Linked DNA regions of Ovis aries. The protein of the gene in region 1 interacts with the protein of each later gene in a pairwise test. Links are inferred from orthologs where the notes say so. Each region holds a gene or a part of one and is shown on either strand. Other genes may lie near its edges.

Region 1 (4,084 bases):
AAATGTCAGTTCAATTAAATGTTTCTAAAAGCTACAGAATGGAATTTTAAAAATCACATTTTCAAAGAGCTTGTTAGTTTCAGGAATCTGCATTCAACAACTTTTTTGGTACTGTGGTAAAATATACTTAACATAAAATTTACCACTGTGACCATTTAAAGTTTACAATTAGTGGCATTAAGCACATTCATGCAGTTGTGCAACCATCACCATTATCTGTCTGCAGAATTTTTTCATCATCCCAAACTAAAACCCTGTATCCATTAAATAATATTCCATCCTCTCCTCCCCCTTGATGTTGAGCAGGGCCCTGTGGGGCTCCAGGACACTGAGGTCTTTTTGTCCTCCATTTCTCATAGGCAAGACTCCAGCCTCCACAACGTTCTTAGTTCCAAAGGGCAGAACAGTTGCTAATTAAGGGAGGAGCAGCCAAGAAATCACCTGAGGTAAGATTAAAGGGACCAGAGAGGCTCATCAAGATTAGGAGAATGAACCCAAGACCCTGCTTGTGTGTTTGTGCTCAGTGACCCTGCAGAATAGATCCCACTAGGCTCCTCTGTCCATTGGATTTTCCAGGCAAGAATACTCGAGAGGGTTGCTATTTATACCCCAAGGGAATCTTCCCAACCCAGGGACTGAACCCAAGTCTCTTGAGTCTCCTGCATTGGCAGGTGGATTTTTTACCACTGTGCCCCCTGGGAAGCCCACCTAAGACCCTGCACACACCCTAATCTTGTCAGCAACCCCGCCCTTTTGAAACTTTGCATAATAATGCAAGACTGTTACTGCCTTAATCGTATCACACATCCCAGTTCAGTTCAGTCGCTCAGTCATGTCCGACTCTTTGCGACCCCATGAATCGCAGCATGCCAGGCCTCCCTGTCCATCACCAACTCCTGGAGTTCACTCAGACTCACGTCCACCGAGTCAGTGATGCCATCCAGCCATCTCATCCTCTGTCGTCCCCTTCTCCTCCTGCCCCCAATCCCTCCCAGCATCAAAGTCAACTCTTCGCATAAGGTGGCCAAAGTACTGCAGTTTCAGCTTTAGCACCATTCCTTCCAAAGAAATCTCAGGGTTGATCTTCAGAATGGACTGGTTGGATCTCCTTGCAGTCCAAGGGACTCTCAAGAGTCTTCTCCAACACCACAGCTCAAAAGCATCAATTCTTCGGTGCTCAGCCTTCTTCACAGTCCAACTCTCACATCCATACATGACTACTGGAAAAATCACACATCCCAGTCTGACTATATAACCTCTCTCTATTCACCTGGGAGTGGGGCACAGCTCTTGAGGCGCTAGCCGTTTGCCTGGCAAAGCAGTAAAGCCACTCTTTCCTTCTCTTCCATGACTCTGTATTTCTGTTGGGCACTGGTGCACAGAGAGCCAAGATTTTGCCAACACCCTCAGCCCCTGGCAAAACTATACTCCACTTTCTGTCTCCATGATTTTGCCTATTCCAGATACCTCATTTAAGCGGACTCATTCAATATTTGCTCTTTTGGGTCCAGCTTACTTCTCCACTGAATACTTTTGTAGAGCAAAGAATGAACCCCAAGCGACTAGGTTTCTCACAATTTAACTGTACATAGTGACATGATCTTCAAACTAAGCACACAGCTCTCCCAGAAATCCTGCTACTGCCCCACGAGCCCCAACGGGCAGAGGATCTCTGACAGACCCTTCCTCAGCCTGTACACAGGCTTGGTTAGGCAGTGGTAACTCAGAGAGCAGGCTCCTTAGAACCCTGGAAGGCACGTGAATGGAGCAAAGGGAAGTAAGAGTCGGCAGTTCTGAAAAACCATGGGTAAGAAAAAGTAAGGATTCATCAAGCTAATTTAGCTTGCAGATGGCCTTCTCTCTGTCCTCCAGAAGCTCCTACACCCTGACCGTTTCGGCGACACCTGTCAGAGCTGAGGTCAGACTGCAGTCTAGCCTCTGATCATGTCACCAGTGTAGGAAGCTTCACAGGGTCATGAGTCACCTGCCATGGCTGAGAGGTCCGGGCAGGCCGCCCCGCCCAGAGAAACCTCTGAGGAGAGGCAGAAACAAGAGAGAAAGACACACGACTGGCAGAGAAACACAGAATGAGTAAAGAGCTGGACCGACAGGCAGGCCGTCAACCAGAGTAAAGACTAAGAGGGAAACACAGGGTCAAGGGACACAGAAGGTGGAAACAGAAATGAAGACAGGACCCAAATACTCGGAGTTGGGCTCGAGAGAAACACAAAGCTGACAGAGGCCGAGTTAATAGGCATAAAGGGCAGGCGATGACAGGTGACAGACAGCAAGAGAGGTGAAACGCAGAGGTAAAGAGACCAGGATCAGCGAAGTCCCAAGCGCAGTCTTTCTCCTGGCTTTGACTCAAACGAGAGGTCGCCAAGCCGCGCCCACTCCGCGCCCCTGAAAGGCCGGAGGGGCGGTCTGACGGGGGAAGAGGGGGTGGCGGGATCTCTAAGCGCTCTGGCCCGCCGAGGTCCGTCACCGGAGGGTGACCTTGGACGAGACTCTGCCTCGGGGGCCTCGGTGTCGCTGCACGAGCTCCGGGCTGGCCAGAGACCGCAGAAGTGGGACCCGGAGCGCCGGGACTCCAACGGTCCCGCGTGCGGCTTCGGCATCCCGGTCGGCGTAATGGGCCTGACGGTGTCAGCGGTGAGCGCGCCGGAACCTGGAGAGAACCCCTCAAACCTCTCCGGTTTCCATTCCTGCCCCCTTGCTACGCGTGGTCCTGACTCTGCCATACCTGCCAAGGGCTCGGCGCTCACATAGCCCGCCGGTGGGATACTTTCCGCCGCAGCCGGCGCCGGGCCCGCTCAAGCCGTAGCTGCCGCGACCGCCTCAGCCTGCGCCTCCCGCCTCCGGAAACGCTTACCGGTCCCCCCCGCAAAACTGCCAGTGCTTCCGGGGGTGCGTCTGAGAGAAAGCGATGTGCGCATGCGGGACTCGCATTCGGGGCGGGGCGTCAGGAGCGTGCTCCGAGAGAACCCGCGGCTGCGCAGTACAACCCGGAGCATGTCAGTCTCCTGTAGGTACTCTAGGGCCAAAGCTGACATTTGCGGAGAGGAGTGCTAAATAATCCAAGTCTATGCCCCAACCAGTAACGCTGAAGAAGCTGAAGTTGAACCGTTCTATGAAGACCTACAAGACCTTTTAGAACTAACACCCAAAAAACATGTCCTTTTCATTATAGGGGACTGGAATGCAAAAGTAGGAAGTCAAGAAACACCTGGAGTAACAGGCAAATTTGGCCTTGGAATGCGGAATGAAGCAGGGCAAAGACTAACAAGAGTTTTGCCAAGAAAATGCACTGGTCATAGCAAACACCTTTTTCCAACAACACAAGAGAAGATTCTACACATGGACATCACCAGATGGTCAACACCAAAATCAGATTGATTATATTCTTTGCAGCCAAAGATGGAGAAGCTCTATACAGTCAACAAAAACAGGACCAGGAGCTGACTGTGGCTCAGATCATGAACTCCTTATTGCCAAATTCAGACTTAAATTGAAGAAACTAGGGAAATCCGCTACACCATTCAGGTATGACCTAAATCAAATCCCTTATGATTATACAGTGGAAGTGAGAAATAGATTTAAGGGCCTAGATCTGATAGATAGAGTGCCTGATGAACTATGGACTGAGGTTCGTGACATTGTACAGGAGACAGGGATCAAGACGATACCCATGGAAAAGAAATGCAAAAAAGCAAAATGGCTGTCTGGGGAGGCCTTACAAATAGCTGTGAAAAGAAGAGAAGCGAAAAGCAAAGGAAAAAAGGAAAGATACAAGCATCTGAATGCAGAATTTCAAAGAATAGCAAGAAGAGACAAGAAAGCCTTCTTCAACGATCAATGCAAAGAAATAGAGGAAAACAACAGAATGGGAAAGACTAGAGATCTCTTCAAGAAAATTAGAGACACCAAGGGAACATTTCATCCAAAGATGGGCTCGATAAAGGGTAAAAATGGTATGGACCTAACAGAAGCAGAAGATATTAAGAAGAGGTGGCAAGAATACACAGGAGAACTATACAAAAAAGATCTTCACAACCAAGATAATCACGATGGTGTGATCATTCAC
Region 2 (3,604 bases), on another chromosome or scaffold:
TCACTGGTTCTGAGCCATAGAACCTGCCCATCCAGCCTGTAATTTGGAGCTTTGCCGTTTTGGAGCATTGTGCACTGATTGGCTAAGTGAAATGAAGCTGAGGGCCTGGTGTAGTCAGAGGGTCAGAGGCTCCCAGGGCCTGATCCCAAGGCAGAGCCTCAGTTCCACATGCAGCACAGCTTGAGGGTGTTTTCCTCTCTCATGGGCCCAGTCCAGTGCCGCCGTCCTTCTTTTCCTGTGTGTCTGGCTGAGTTGAAGCCCCCTTGGTTTTCTCCTCTCACCCTGTGGGCTCCCTGCCCACTGCCTTCCAGGTGCACAAGCTTCTGATTGTGGTGGAGTTGTTGCTGGGGGAGATCCCAGACCGGCTGCAGTTCCGTCAACCATCCCTCAAGCGCTCACTCATGCCCTACTTCCTTCTGACCCAGGGTAAGGCTGGTCCCCTCCCAGGGCGTGCCGCCCCCCAGCACTGTGTCCCCTCTGGTGTATGCGCCACGGGCAGCATCTGACCCACTCCTCTCCCCACCGCAGCTGTCAGGACAGGAAACCTAGCCAAGTTCAACCAGGTCCTGGATCAGTTTGGGGAGAAGTTCCAAGCAGATGGGACCTACACCCTCATCATCCGACTGCGGCACAACGTCATCAAGACAGGTGTGGGTCGGCCTTGAGAATCTGCCTTCCAGGGTGGGGGACGCGGGTTCAGTTCCTGGTCAGGGAACAAAGGTCCCACGTGCTGCGGGGCAGCTAAGCCCACACGCTGCAGTGAGAAGCCCTTGCACTGTAACAAAGACCCAGTGCAGCCAAACTAGAAAAAAGAAAAGGTAACCTGATCACTTAAAAAAAAAAGACAAGTGTGGGTCAGGGTCTGAGGGAGCCTGGAAGCAGGACTGGGACTCTGCTTCTCTGGGGCTGGGACAGCACTGTGGCTGCCCGGGCAGGTGAAGGGTCTGTGCCCAGCCTGTCGTCCCCGCGCCCCTCCTCCCAGGTGTGCGCATGATCAGCCTCTCCTATTCCCGCATCTCCTTGGCGGACATCGCCCAGAAGCTGCAGCTTGATAGCCCAGAGGATGCAGAGTTCATTGTCGCCAAGGTGGGCCTGGTTCGGGGGCCGCAGACGCTGTTTCAGGCGCGGGGTGGGAGGGGATTGACGGCTAAAGCGGCGGCATGCCCAGCTTACAGTGAAGCCAGGAAGTTGCCAGAGTGTCTGTGTGAATGAATGTAGGAGAGATCAGCGAGGACAAAGAGATGAGACGGGATGTTCTCAGACTTAGAAGATGGACTTTCTGGTGACTTCTCCTCCCTTTGGGGCCTGCAGGCCATTCGAGATGGCGTCATTGAGGCCAGCATCAACCACGAGAAGGGCTACGTCCAGTCCAAGGAGATGATTGACATCTATTCCACCCGCGAGCCCCAGTTGGCCTTCCACCAGCGCATTTCCTTCTGCCTGGATATTCACAACATGTCTGTCAAGGTGAGGGGCCCTGAGCTGCAGAGCCAGCTGGGCAGCACGCTGCCACACCCACAGGCTCCTAGCGAAGACCGGTTTGGTTTGGGGCCCGGCTCCCAGTCTCTAAAGCACTGGGGGTCCAGGAGGGGCAAAGGACTTGGCTTGTGGGACCACAATGCCTCTGTGCACTTAAAGGGTCTGGTTGCCAGGGAGGATGAGACTGGGGTTTAGAGTGCGCGGTTCTGGATTTGGTTCCAAATTTGAGTCGTTTACCTTCTGTGAAGTCTCCATGTCTCCATCTGTGAGACTGATAGGGAGGTATTACCTGCCCTGCCTGCTTCACAGAGTTGTCGAGATTGGATGAAATCACTGTCTTGGGGCACTTAGCTAAGTTTGAATTGTGTAAAGGGTGGGACCACCATCTTGGTCCACAAAAGGCTCCTAAGCCCTTGTGGGTCAGGTGCTGGTACTGTCGGACACTGTTTTTCCTGGTCTCTCCCCCCAGGAAACCAGGCATATCACTTTGTCTGAAATCAGGCAAACGCTGTGCATGAAAGACCCTTTGTGACTGGTCCCCTGTGTCTCTAGCCTCACTCCCCAGGACCGCTCCCGTCAGCCCCTCCCCCCCTTCTCCCCTCCTCCCAGCTGGCCCCACTGAGCTCCAGCCTAACCTCTCACACCTTGAATGTCTGCCTAGAATGCCCTTCCTTCCGCTTCCATAGGCCATCCATTCTTCCTCCTTCTCACTGTCAGTCCGCCTCCCTGCCTGACTGAGAGGGTTGGTCGTTTATCCCTCTGGATTTTCTTTTTAGTGTTTATCATGTGGTGTCACGGGTCATTAGTCACCATGCCCCAGCAGACTAAACTGAGGAGTGTCACCTGTCCGGTGCATTTCCTAGCGCCCAGGTGCCTGCCTCCTCTTCACTCACTCCTCTCTCCATTGTGCTTCAGGCCATGAGGTTTCCTCCCAAATCCTACAACAAGGACTTGGAGTCTGCAGAGGTAAGCTGCTTTCTGCTTTGGGTGGAAGGGGAAGTTTCTGGAAAGCCTGGGTGGGTCGGGCTGGGTGCAGACCAAGTGAGTGCCTGGCTGGTCCTCAGCAGCCTGGGTGGGTCGGACTGGGTGCAGACCACGAGCCCCAGGCTGGTCCTCAGCCCCCCCGCCCCCTGGTCCTCTTCCCCAGGAGCGGCGAGAGCGGGAGCAGCAGGACTTGGAGTTTGCCAAGGAGATGGCAGAAGATGACGACGACAGCTTCCCTTGAGCTGGGGGGCTGGGGAGGGGTGGGGTGAGTGGGGACTGGCTCTGTCTTTCCCCCATGGGGGTCCCCTGCCCAGGGAACTGGCTCCTCTTCCCACATGGGGCACACAGACTGCTATGTGCAGGGGGTGAGGGGTGCAGGGAGCCGGTCACCCTACCTCATCCCAGGGCCCCTCCTCAGCCGGTGACTTAGCACACGGGGGCAGGCGGGCGGGCGGGCAGCCTCCCCAGGGCAGGGTCCTGGCTAGTGGTGTGGGCAGCACGATGGGAAGGACTAGCCCTGTGCCCTCCTCCAGGGAGTAGGGCACCGGAACTGGGACATGTGTTAGGCTGTATGTTTTTTGAAGCTTCAATTATGATTTTTAAACAATAAAAAGTTCTCCAAAGCTCCTTATGTATCAGTTACTCTATTTTGCCCTCACAGGTACAGTGTTAACAGGCCCAGATTTTTCTCCTGGCCTGGGAGTGCCAGCCCCAGGCATGATCTGAGGACCTGATGCAGCTGTAGATGAGGAGGCGGCCAGGGGCTGGGTGAAGAGATTCTGATCTGGGGTCAGAAGGGCCTGGGTTTACTCTTTCGCATCTAACTGGCTCTCAAATAATTGGGCAACTCTCTAAACCTCTCAGGCTCCTTTGCCAGATCTGTCAAATAAATGATTATACTCAGTGATCTCCTGGCTCTAAAATGAGGAATCTAGGCTTCCAATGAATCAAACAAAATGTGAGAGTCTGGCCCTCAGGTGAGATTGAGTGAGGAGAGAAGGGTCTCCAGCAAGGCTGCACCATGTTGGGAGCAGGGTCCTGCCCAGCTGGCCCTTGAGAGGGGAGGATGGGCTCCTCCCTAAGGGCAGGGAGGAGTGGTCGGGCACAAGGGGGCTCCCTGTGGCCCCCAGCCCACCTGCTC

The links. The genes of interacting proteins can lie anywhere in the genome.
Region 2: the proteins of ZBTB43 (region 1) and PSMD3 interact in binary tests that used the Homo sapiens proteins (3 or more experiments, as listed by UniProt). The two-hybrid records come from large-scale screens. The link is inferred for Ovis aries from reciprocal best matches to the Homo sapiens genes ZBTB43 and PSMD3.

The regions. Positions count from the first base shown.
Region 1 is NC_056056.1:9,310,310-9,314,393, forward strand, and holds the start of ZBTB43 (zinc finger and BTB domain-containing protein 43), read right to left. Parts: upstream 2,864-4,084; 5' UTR 2,744-2,863; intron 1-2,743. UniProt on the Homo sapiens protein: May be involved in transcriptional regulation.
Region 2 is NC_056064.1:40,071,207-40,074,810, forward strand, and holds the end of PSMD3 (26S proteasome non-ATPase regulatory subunit 3), read left to right. Parts: intron 1-311; coding exon 312-426; intron 427-528; coding exon 529-648; intron 649-982; coding exon 983-1,086; intron 1,087-1,311; coding exon 1,312-1,467; intron 1,468-2,394; coding exon 2,395-2,685; coding exon of another isoform or gene 2,686-2,704; 3' UTR 2,705-3,090; downstream 3,091-3,604.